Ovis aries: one gene and its partners. The protein of the gene in region 1 purifies or fractionates together with the protein of each later gene. This does not show direct contact. Links are inferred from orthologs where the notes say so. Each region holds a gene or a part of one and is shown in the gene's direction. Other genes may lie near its edges.

Region 1 (4,125 bases):
AGTGAAAGGATAAAAATTGTCAACAAAAATAGATCATGCAACACTGGCTGCCCCTTTATCTTGTATGGATCTGAGGATTAACTAGTCAACTAGCCTACAAATATTTTTGAAAAATGTCTTGTTCCCTTAAAAATTCTGACAGACTTCTAGTGGGATTTATGATCTGTTTCTGCATATAGCACCTGTGCTGTGCTGTGCTTAGTCACTCAGTCATGTCTAACTCTTTGCAACCACATGGCCCAGCAGCCTCCTCCATCCATGGGGATTCTCCAGGCAAGGATACTGTAGTGGGTTGCCATGCCCTCCTCCAGGAGATCTTCCCAACCCAGGGATCTAACCCAGGTCTCCTACATTGCAGGCAGATTCTTTACCCGCTGAGCTACCAGGGAAGCCCCACATATGGTGCCTAGGACAAGTAAATATGGCAGTGGCTGATGTGTCAAGATGGGCAAGCAGATCAGTTACCCAGGGCTGTGGCCATCATGGTCTATAGCCAGTACTATCTGCATGTCCTAGGAGAGCCCTCCTGGAGACGATCTCTGCTAGAACGTGAGCTAGAAGGTGGCTGAGGAAACATTCAGGCTTCAAACAACACATCTAGTCATCTTTTTTGAGACGAAAGAGAAAGTTGTAAATGAAGAGTTAATCCCCGAGGCAGAATCTAAAATGGAGAAAATCAACATCCACAAAAAATGGGAAGGACACATGTCAGTGTGTGGGCTTACACTCAGACATTTTTATCTGTAGAAAAAAAAATGCTTTCTTAGAAAATGACTCAGCAGGGGGAAGTCTTGTCTCTACCTCTGTCAGGATCTGTACTTTGGGGTCCCTTCATCAATAGTCTCCATCCTTCATTGTCAAGTTTAACTGTGTGGCCTCAAGTCTCTGCCTTAGAGGACATGAGACGCTAAAGACACACTCCCTTGCCAGTCCCTTTGTTTTGTCTCCACAGATCTGCATTTCTCCTCTTTTCTGGAAGTCTCCGCTCCCTGTGTTGACCATCCCAATGATCCTTTAGCGATGTCGTCCCTTTACGTTGGGGAGGTTAGCCTGAGGACGTGTCTGCTCAACCCAGCCTGGTCTAGAGTCTCAGTGGCCCCAGTCAAATAGAGAAGAGTTCTTTCAGAGCAGACTCAACTAGTACTGTCAGAGGTCCCAAGCAAATGAAGGGCGGGGACTGCTGGGCGGGTGGGGGGGTGGTGGAATAAGGACAGCAGCAGGGAACCAGATACCATGCTGCTGAGAAGAAGAAAAAAAAAGACATTGGTTTAAGTCAGGAAACAAAAAAAGGGAACTGAGTGGCTGTGAAAGGGTGGGGTTTGCTCAGACTGTCCTTCCTCTCTGGACTGTAAGAATATGTCTCCAGGGCCAGTGTCTTCTGACATCGAGTCCCGACTTCCAAGTCCCGGCATCTCAATGCATCCGGGGAGCTGCCTGCATTAAAGTCAGAACTGAGGTGGGTCCGGGGCATGGCAAGGGCTGGACAGCAGCAGTAACTGCCTTTCCTAGGACCTTGAAGGTCAGAGAGAAAGCGTGGCTGGTGCCATGTAGTCTGAGGCAGGAGGAGGCAGATGGAGGGTGGGAGTGTCATCGCCTAAGGCCCTGGTAGTCCCTTCTGATAATCAGAAGAGGCTGGAAGGGTCCTTTCTGGGGAGGTCATAGTTGGGTGGAGACAAGAAAAAAAAAGTGACATAAGGTGACCATCTGAACAGGTAGCAGATGTTGGAAAGAGGCAACTCTGCACAATTTGGCAGAAAAGTAAGCTTTCATGCCCATGGCTAAATAAGCCAGGATAAAAATTAACTGTTTGGGTAATATTGCCAGAAGACCCCAAATGGATCCGTGTGTCAATGAGACCTTAGGAAAAAGAAATTTTTAAGAGGCAGATTGTCTAAAAAAATTGGTCAAAACGCATATGCTTTTGAGCTCTGTAAGCTACGGAAAGGCTCAACCAGAGTGGAAAGCCTCTGGCTGCATTGGGCCAGTACTGCTGGGATCAGAGCTGCCTTGTTGGAAGGACTGTGCATGCCAACCTCGTGGTAACAGTGGGTAAGAGATCGGGCCAGAAGTCAGCCTCGGCCTCGAGGCCCAGACAGTGCGGCCAACCCCTGAGGTCACGGGGAAGCTTTTTCCTATTACCATTGCCTGCCATGTGCATGGCTCTCTTCTTTTCTAGGCTCCATCATTTGCTTCTCTCCTTTCCTCTCCTCTCCATCTGTCTCTCCCTTTTCCTCCTTTTCCTCCTTGTCCTTTCTCTACCTGTATCCCCTCTTCTTTATCCCCTCCTTGATTTTGTTCATTACCACCCCGGAACAGAGCCAATGCTTAATAAATTCGTGGGGAATCTCAGTGAATTCTTCTTGCCCCTTTCTTCCCCTGCTGTTTTCCCTTTGCCCTTTCCCCCTACTTGCCTAGTGCCTTCCCCATAGGATTGTCGTGAGTGGTGTGTGTCCTATGTAAAGTAGTTAAAATGGGGCCCAGCAATAGTCAGTGTGCCTATCTCAGTGTTTGCTATTATTTGTATTCTGCCTGAGACCTGTCAAGGTCCCCAAAAGGCCTGCCTAGAACAAATATGTGGCGTCTAGAATAAAAAGGATTGCTGGCTCTGACCAAGACATCCTTGGGTGAGTGCGGGCCAAATGGAATTCCAGTCCAGTTTCCCGGTCACCCTGCTCTCCAAGCTCCACATCTCTGTCTCATGTTGTCTGTTTCCGAAGGTAGGGCAGCAGCAAAGCCCAGAGGCAGGGCTCTACAGCTCAGGGGTTATCTTCTGTGCTGTTAGTTACATGCTGCTTCTGCTCCTTCCCTCCTTTTGCATGCCAAGCCCCTGACCAAGGGTGCTACGGCCTCTTGGAGCCTCAATTATTTGATTAAAAATGTCACCTACCAAATAAGCCACAAGATGCAAATACCCTAAATAATCTAAAGCGTTCTACTGAACTGGAATCCCTTAGCGTTAGCCCTATCTGGTCTATTCTGATCCCTTCAGACAACTTAAACTGTCTACTTGCCTTCAAGTCCAAATTCCTGTAGCTTATGGCTAGCGATGTGTTTGTTTAGAATCTTTTGTAAACTCCTCATGGTGAGAACTAGTGCAACTTTCCATCCACTTCTAGGGTCTGGGTGCAATTTAAAATTATCATCAGTATGATCTACTATTTCCATTTGAGCAAATTTCCTATAGAGAGTTTCCTTTCAGCGGACTAGACCCATACCAGGAAGTGACTTAGGTATAAGGGGAAGACATGGCTTTTGAAAACCAGTCTGAATGTTCTCCAAAGAGTCATCAGACACTTGCTGCTTTTTGCCCGTGGATGCCATGCCGATATCCGATGGCTAGGCCTTCGGAATAAGAGTGACATAGAATTTTCAGGAAGGCAGTGCTCAGTAAGAAGTTAGAGACAGACCTTGACCTAATTCACTCCAAAACTGCTGGGTTATGCAAATGAAGCCATCAGGGGGAGGGGGAGAGAGAAATGCTCTGAGGACCCTGAAACAAATGGGCCACGTGTGACTTTCGGTTTCTCTGGAGGTTCTTGTGCACTGGCTGAGGGTGTTGGGAGAGCATTTGAAAAGCAAAAGCCTTAATCCCAGGCTTTCCACCTCCCTCTCTGTGAGCAATTACCACATCCCCTTAGGGTTAACATCAGTTAGCTGAACTTTCAGAAGAAGCTATTCTCGCTGCCTTACATCCCCAAAATGAAAATGAATTATAGTCTATTAACTCCTTCCTACGTATTTATCTGTAATAGAAACAGAATAAAAAGAAACTGATTAGAAGTGGAGCAGAAAAGAGACAAAAGTATGGAAAAACAGGTTCTCCAAAACTGCTATTTGGAGTGGAAATCAGTTACAGTGTTTCTGGAAACTATTTTGTCAATATATTTCAAAATGCAAAAGGCACAAACTTTTTGACTCAGCATATGATGTTTATATAGAGATCCTAACAACAAGGGAAAACATCTGAAATAATGTTAAACAAGAACTTTAGATATTTTGTGGACAACGTATGTTGGGTGAAGGAAGGATACTTAGGTAATAAGTATCTAAGTATAAGAATAAGAAAAATAAGCAAACTCTAAATATTAGGTGCAATATGATCTCAAATATAGTCAGAAAAACACA
Region 2 (3,500 bases), on another chromosome or scaffold:
TTGCGGTGGGGCCTTGGCATTTTTTTTAAAGCTCCTAGGTGGTTCCTAGGGGCTTCCCTTGTAGCTCATATGGTAAAGAGTCTGCCTGCAATGTGGGAGACCCAGGTTGGATTCCTGAGTCAGGAAGGTCCCCCGGAGAAGGAAATGGCAATCCACTCCAGTATTCTTGTCTGGAAAAATTCTATGGATGGAGGAGCCTGGCAGATAGAGTCCATGGAGTTACAAAGAGTCAGACATGACTTAGCAACTAACACATTCACTTTCACAGGTGGCTCCTATGTGTAAGCAGGATTGAGAATCATCACACTTAAGGCTTCAGGGAGCAAAGTGAACCCACTGAGGATTACTGCTCCCCTTAGCCCCCGACACTGCCAAGGTCACCATCTACTCTATTTAGCCGCATGCTTGGACTATCAGCTCTCCTGGGTCTGTGGGTTTCATGGCTCCCTGGGAGGATACTGTTCTGGTTTTTATAATGTAGGTCAATGGGTTGTTGAAATTGTTGCCTGTCATACTTTTTAAAGGAATGCCCCAGTCAAGAGCATGTTGGCTACATGGATGCTGGTAGTTTTCTACTTTCTAGAACTCGGTGGCTTCTGCCCAAGAAATGATCCAGAACCCTTTCATCTTATGTTTTGTTGTTCTTGCTGTTCCTCTCAAGACAACCGATCAAGCCAGAGGCAGTCTCCACCCTTCAGCAAGACTCTTCCCAGTAAACCCAACTGGCCTTCGGCAAAAGCGAGACTGGCCACCTCTCTGCCGGCCAACACTTCACTGCATAAACCTCAAGTCCCACCCAAACCCAAAGAGATCCTTGAGGATGAGGTAAAGTAAATCTGTCCGGGGAAGGCTGCCCAGACCACGGGGAAGGCTGGACGCAGGGGCCAGATGAGGGGAGGGGCAGGACAGTGTAGCCTCAGATGTGTCTTCCTTCCTCCAGGCTTGGGTCTCTGACCGGCCCTAACCACCTGCCCTGAAACTCTCCACTGTCCTGCTGAAAGGATGTTTTCTCTTAAAATGTCACATATGGCCTTATTTAAGCACTTTCATGTACTAATCAGGTATATGATGTAATATCCAACCTGGATTTGTGCCCCTCTCACTATTTCCTCTTTCTTATCCCTCCGTTTCCTGCAAATCTCTCATTCCTCCATAAGATACTTCCCCACCTTTATCCTCCCATGCTTCTCTCCCTGTCCTGCCTCATGTTCTTTCCCCCACTTTCTTTTCTCTCTGATCCTCTAAGCTGCAGAGGGGTGCAACAGGATGTATACTGGAGACCCCCTGTCTGTATGGAGACCCTGCACAACCCGTGGAAGAACTGACCCCGCACTTCCTTCGGCATCTCTTGCTTCTCTCTCTCTCTCCCCAGCCCCAGGTATCCAGGAACCTCCTTTGCCAACTGTCTGGGACCCATTTCTAGGTTTATCTTACCAATATCCCTTCTGCCAGCACCTAAATTTTTCATGTCTTATTCCCTATGAAATTTTAAAAAATGAATGGGTGAACTTATTCGGACTATTGTAAGAATGACTGATAAAGCCTAATACGTTATGGCTCCCAGAAGTACTGCATTTAAAGAAAGTCAAAGACAAGCCCTCAAACTTAGCCTTTAGAACATTTGTACAAGTGCAATGGGCTTCCCAGGTGGCTCAGTGGTAAAGAATTCGCCTGCCAATGCAGGAGATGTGGGTCTGATCCCTGGGTCAGGAAGATCCCCTGGAGTAGGAAATGGCAACTCGCTCCCGGATTCTTGCCTGGGAAATCCCATGGACGGAGGAGCCTAGCGGGCTACAGTCCATGAAGTCGCAAAGAGTCGTACATGACTGAGCGACTGAATACACAAGTGCAACAGGCTAAGAAAGAAAACAACATTAAAGGCAACTCTTAACCATCACCAGACATAATGGTACCGCAGCTTCTTGAAGAAGCAACTGTTTCTAAATGCCTATGGGTGATAAAACCTATAGCTTACAAACATGCTGTGAAATGACCTTCTTTTCCACCTTAGCATAATTTGTAGCCCAACAGGAGACATAAAAGAGAGACTTTTAAAATAAAATAGAGGCAGCATCCAGGCCCAAATTCCCACTTCACATTTACTAGTTGTGTGACTTTAGGTATCAGATGGAGAAGGCAATGGCAACCCACTCCAGTACTCTTGCCTGGAAAATTCCATGGATGGAGGAGCCTGGAAGGCTACAGTCCATGGGGTCGCTGAGGGTTGGACACGACTGAGCGACTTCACTTTCACTTTCATGCATTGGAGAAGGAAATGGCAACCCACTCCAGTATTCTTGCCTGGAGAATCCCAGGGACGGAGGAGCCCAGTGGGCTGCTGTCTATGGGGTCGCACAGAGTTGGACATGACTGAAGCGACTTAGCAGCAGCAGCAGCAGCAGCAGGTATCAGATAATCTCTCTGAGTCTCATCTTTTCATCTCTTCAGGTTCCTTTAAAGATTTAAGAAAGGAATATAAATACTTAATTCAGTGTCTCACACAAAGAAACATTCTATGTATTGCATAAACTGGATTCCTTTCTACCATATTCTAGATTCTTTATAAAATCTACTTTTCTAGTTTCTCCTGAAAACCAAGGGCCTGTCAACACATGGCCAGTCATGGCCTCGAAGCAGCTGAGCCTCATGGCACCCTTCCAGCTCAGCTGAGAATCCCCGGCCCCTGTTTCCGTTTGTCATCATCTTCACCACTGACACAAGGCGTGGACACAGCCTGACTCTGCACACGCCCAGTTGCTATTCCGTGCCTGCCTGTAAGCACTTGAGCTTATGAGCCCCCTCTCCAGGGACAGTTTAAGTCAGGAGGTCAGCAGACTGAGAATGAATTTGGTTTGTCAATCCTCAGTCTGTCTGTCAGTCCGAGGGGATGATGCCCTTTCAGGGTGTGAACAGGTGGCAAGGAGAATCTGAGCATGGGACACGGTAGGGAGACCATCGGTTAGGGTCTCACTGTGAATTCTTCCAGCATTCAGAGGGTCTATAGGAAGATACCAACTCAGACACAGAATACAAATGAAGACTGTGAGTTACGTGAGGCTCTCCATTTCTGTGAATAACTGCAGGTGGACCCCAGTGGGGATAGGCCGAGTTTTGCTAATAACAGCTTTTTGGTGGTGGCTCAGGCAAGTCTGAACCAGCGGGGAAAGGGGACGACTGGAGGAGATACATTCTGGAATGAGGAGATGGACAATCAAGATGAGGAAGAGTTAAAAAAGAAATAGAAGACAACATTAAGATCTGGCCAAGACATTAGATAGGAAAGGAAGAAGTCAAATACAAGCACAAATAAAAGTGTGTAGCTCTGCCATACAGGTTACAGGCAAAATATGGGTTACAGGCTGAGCAGAGAGTTGGGGCGAGGGGTGGAGGAGCAACTGCCCTGTAATGACAGGAGGGTCTAGCACTTGACAAGCACTGTGTATCGGCTGGTGATCTGAGCCCTCTGTGTGTATTATCTCATCACACCCTCAGAGCAACCC
Region 3 (3,500 bases), on another chromosome or scaffold:
CCAGACTTTTCAGAAAAGGACTTTCATATCCATTATTCTCATCATGGCAGCTCTAGAAGTTGACTGGGCAGAAATTACTCCCATTTGCTGGTGAATGGGGGCCCAAATCTTGGCCTTCCTGGTCCCAGCCCAGCTTTTCCCACTGCTGCACGCTGTTGGCAATGAACTCCTTTCCTTTTTGCTCAGCTCAGTCTAGGACTTGGACTGCATGGCAGAGCCCAGGCTCTGTCCACTCTAAAGGGCTGCCTCATGGGAGCTAAGTGAGTGTCAGCCCACAGACGTGTCCCAGTTGGATGGATGTGTAGCCAGACTCAGGTAAAGGGGCAGGACCAAAATCAGTACTGGGGATTTCCATGACTCCAGAATTCCTGACCCTGAGGGCCGAGATCCTTCTGTGATGCTCTGTCCCAAGACACATACTTGAGCACCCAGCACCCGTGGTGCTCAGTTGTGCCCTCAGGAGAACAAGTCCCCCAGGGGGGGCTGCATCCTGGAGGGACTAGCTCTCCCACACATTATGGATGCCTTGCTGGAAGGGGCCCTAAGCACCCTTGCCCACCCCCAGGGCTGCAGCTTGGCTAAGCCGCCACTCTCCCTGCTTGCTCCCTCTGCCTTGGCGGTGCCAGTGCAGCAGCTCCTGGAGGATGGCGCAGACCCCTGTGCAGCTGACGACAAGGGCCGCACTGCCCTGCACTTTGCCTCCTGCAATGGCAACGACCAGATTGGTGAGTCCTGGGGAGGTAGGGGAGAGGGGCTGGGCGAGTATTCTCCCCCCAGAGGCACTGGGGAACAGCACACAGAGGGTGGGGGGCTGCTGGAGCTGAGGAAGGCTGGGCCCTCCCACGCCTCTGGCCTGTGGAACTGGCACTGCCAGGCTAAGGTGGGGCTCACCTGGGGAAAGAACGAGATCGACCCCAAGGTTGGACCGGACCTTCCAGACATGCAGGCAACATTTACTCAGTGCTAAGGGCAGCAGTGGGACAGCCCGCCCCCAAACCCAATTTTTTTTTCCCCCCAGAGGTCTTTTTAGGATGTGGTATAACTGGCAAACAGTGAAGTCTCTGTATACATACACTGCTGTGTCCACCTCCTGGATCAAAATATAGAATCTTTTCAGTGCCCAGCATTCTGTCTTATGCCCCTTAAGAACCTTCACTAGCAGCCACAGCTGTTGGGAGAACTTTCTTTAACCCTAAAATCTCAGTCCCATAATACCTGCACGGGCTCAGGGACCCTCCCAGAAGCCTTAGTTCACAGTGCCCAGCGTCATGCACACAGGCCTCACGAGTGGGCAAGGGAGTGAAGCTGCACAGGGCAGTGTACTGGCTCTCAGTGTTCCGTAGAGGGGTGGAGGCTAGGATGCTGTCAGTAGACGCCCCCAGCGGCTCCTCTGGGGCTTTCCTGTTTCCAGTGCAGCTGCTTCTGGACCACGGAGCCGACCCCAACCAGCGAGATGGGCTGGGGAACACGCCACTGCACCTGGGTGAGTGCCTGGCAAGCTGCCAAGACAGGCTCCTTTGATGGAGAGCCCGGCGTCCTGCAGGCCCCCAGCAGGCTCTCCTGTCCCCTGGGGAAAGCCTGAGTCCCCAGGGCCACACTCCCCTTGGGCTGTGTCCGTGGCTGACCCCATCCACTATTGGTCGACTGTGCCCCAAGCAGGGCTGATTTCACAACCTGAACTGGCTCAGCAGCTCTGCCAGGGGAGGTTCCTGCCCTGTGGCCAACTCTCACCATGGCTTGTGGCGAGGCGGGTCCCACCTCCCAGCCTCAGTTTCCCCAGCTGTGTAGGGAGGGAGTTGGGTTTGATCGCTGAATCCCCCCAGTTGCTGCCTCAGTGATGCCTCTTGGGGCTTGATCTGGCACCGGAACCCTGAGAGACACAGTCCTGCTCCCTCCCGCGGGCACCCAGGGCCAAGCCCCCTGCGGTCCTGAGCTCTCAGTCCCTGTTCTCCTTCCTCAGCGGCCTGCACCAACCACGCCCCCGTCATCACCACGCTGCTGCGAGGAGGTGAGTGCTCCCCTCCCCGTCCTTCCTCCTCCTCCCCCTGCTCAGCATGCTCACCGCTGCCTGTCCCCCCAGGGGCCCGGGTGGACGCCCTGGACCGAGCAGGCCGCACACCCCTGCACCTGGCTAAGTCCAAGCTCAACATCCTGCAGGAAGGCCACTCGCAATGCCTGGATGCTGTGCGGCTGGAGGTGAAGCAGGTGAGCGCCCCACTCGGCTGAGCCTGCAGCACTGAGCAGGTGACTTCATTCATGGTTCATGTGGACCCCAGCTGACACCTGGTCCAGCGCACCCCTGGGCAGCAGCCTCTGGCTGCTCTGTGCCTGTGGGCACAGCCTCAGCCTGCCCTCTGGTTTCAGATCATCCAGATGCTGAGGGAGTACCTGGAGCGCCTAGGGCGGCATGAGCAGCGGGAGCGGCTAGATGACCTCTGCACCCGCCTCCAGATGACGAGCACCCGCGAGCAGGTGAGCGCGGCTGCGGTCCAAACCCCAGCCTGGCAGGAGCTTCAGGGTGAGCTGGTCGCCACTCTGAGGCTGGAGAGAGAGGCATGGCTGCTGGTTGCCGTCGTCTGTGGGCCTCAAAGCCTCTGTCCACCTCCTTGGAAGCAGCCTGAGTCCTTCTCTCTGGGGCAGCGAGGATTCACCCTTGGACAGCTGCTCCATAGTCCAGGGTGAAGCCCTCACAGGCCCTGTGAGAAGAGACAGTGCCTGCCTCTGCACCTGTGGTGCTGTCGGGGGAGACCCGGGGCACCCCACCACAGAGCCTTGGTTTCCTCCCGCAGGTGGACGAAGTGACCGACCTGCTGGCCAGCTTCACCTCCCTCAGCTTGCAGATGCAGAACATGGAGAAGAGGTAGCGAGAGCCGCTCCCTGCCGTCCCTCCTGCTGCCCGCCCCGCCCCGCCCGCTGCCCTCTTGCTACAAAGAAAAGGCCTGGCACCTGGGACCCCGTCTGCCGAGGCCTCATCCCAGCTGCTGGGAGGCAGAGGCGTTCTCTCACTGACCTCAGCGCCACTCACAGCCGCAGTCTGTCGTGTCCATGGGCCGAGACCACAGCCCCCAGCTTCTTCCTTTGGCTCCCGCAGCAGCACAGCCATGCCTCTGCCCTGGCTGACTTGACACGCGCTCTCCTCACAGGCCTCGCTCATCCCACAGCCTCCCTGGTGCCCTCAGCAGGCCCCAGACCCTCCTCTGAGTCCCCTCCCGGCCGTGGGCTTGTTGCAGCCAGCCGGGTGGGCTTAGGGCAGGCACCCTCTGGCCTAGGGGGCTTCTTGGCTGGCCCTGCACCTCTCACCAGCACTTAGATCAGGCTTGTCACCAGACTTGCAAGGAGACATGGCAGCTACTTTGTTTGGTTTGGAAGGGGCCAGGGGGGTGGTGAAGCCTAGACCTTAGAAATACAAGGTTAGGGAGGACCTTGCTGAACCCAAAGCAGAAAATCCCTGGCCCTTTTTTCCCCAATCACTGAAACACCGGGAGGGAGTAACCTTTCTG

What was found. Proteins that work in one complex are often made in the same cells at the same time.
Region 2: the proteins of BTK (region 1) and BLNK purify together in Homo sapiens (affinity purification with western blotting; 5 studies listed by BioGRID and IntAct, with this or other methods). This does not show direct contact. The link is inferred for Ovis aries from reciprocal best matches to the Homo sapiens genes BTK and BLNK.
Region 3: the proteins of BTK (region 1) and ANKRD54 purify together in Homo sapiens (affinity purification with mass spectrometry; 4 studies listed by BioGRID and IntAct, counting the BioPlex papers as one, with this or other methods). This does not show direct contact. The link is inferred for Ovis aries from reciprocal best matches to the Homo sapiens genes BTK and ANKRD54.

The regions. Positions count from the first base shown.
Region 1 is NC_056080.1:133,057,000-133,061,124, reverse strand, and holds the start of BTK (tyrosine-protein kinase BTK), read left to right. Parts: upstream 1-1,325; 5' UTR 1,326-1,456; intron 1,457-4,125. UniProt on the Homo sapiens protein: Non-receptor tyrosine kinase indispensable for B lymphocyte development, differentiation and signaling. Binding of antigen to the B-cell antigen receptor (BCR) triggers signaling that ultimately leads to B-cell activation.
Region 2 is NC_056075.1:17,382,649-17,386,148, reverse strand, and holds part of BLNK (B-cell linker protein), read left to right. Parts: intron 1-661; coding exon 662-825; intron 826-3,500. UniProt on the Homo sapiens protein: Functions as a central linker protein, downstream of the B-cell receptor (BCR), bridging the SYK kinase to a multitude of signaling pathways and regulating biological outcomes of B-cell function and development.
Region 3 is NC_056056.1:215,473,094-215,476,593, reverse strand, and holds part of ANKRD54 (ankyrin repeat domain-containing protein 54), read left to right. Parts: intron 1-626; coding exon 627-725; intron 726-1,411; coding exon 1,412-1,483; intron 1,484-1,960; coding exon 1,961-2,008; intron 2,009-2,080; coding exon 2,081-2,205; intron 2,206-2,364; coding exon 2,365-2,472; intron 2,473-2,789; coding exon 2,790-2,864; 3' UTR 2,865-3,500. UniProt on the Homo sapiens protein: Plays an important role in regulating intracellular signaling events associated with erythroid terminal differentiation.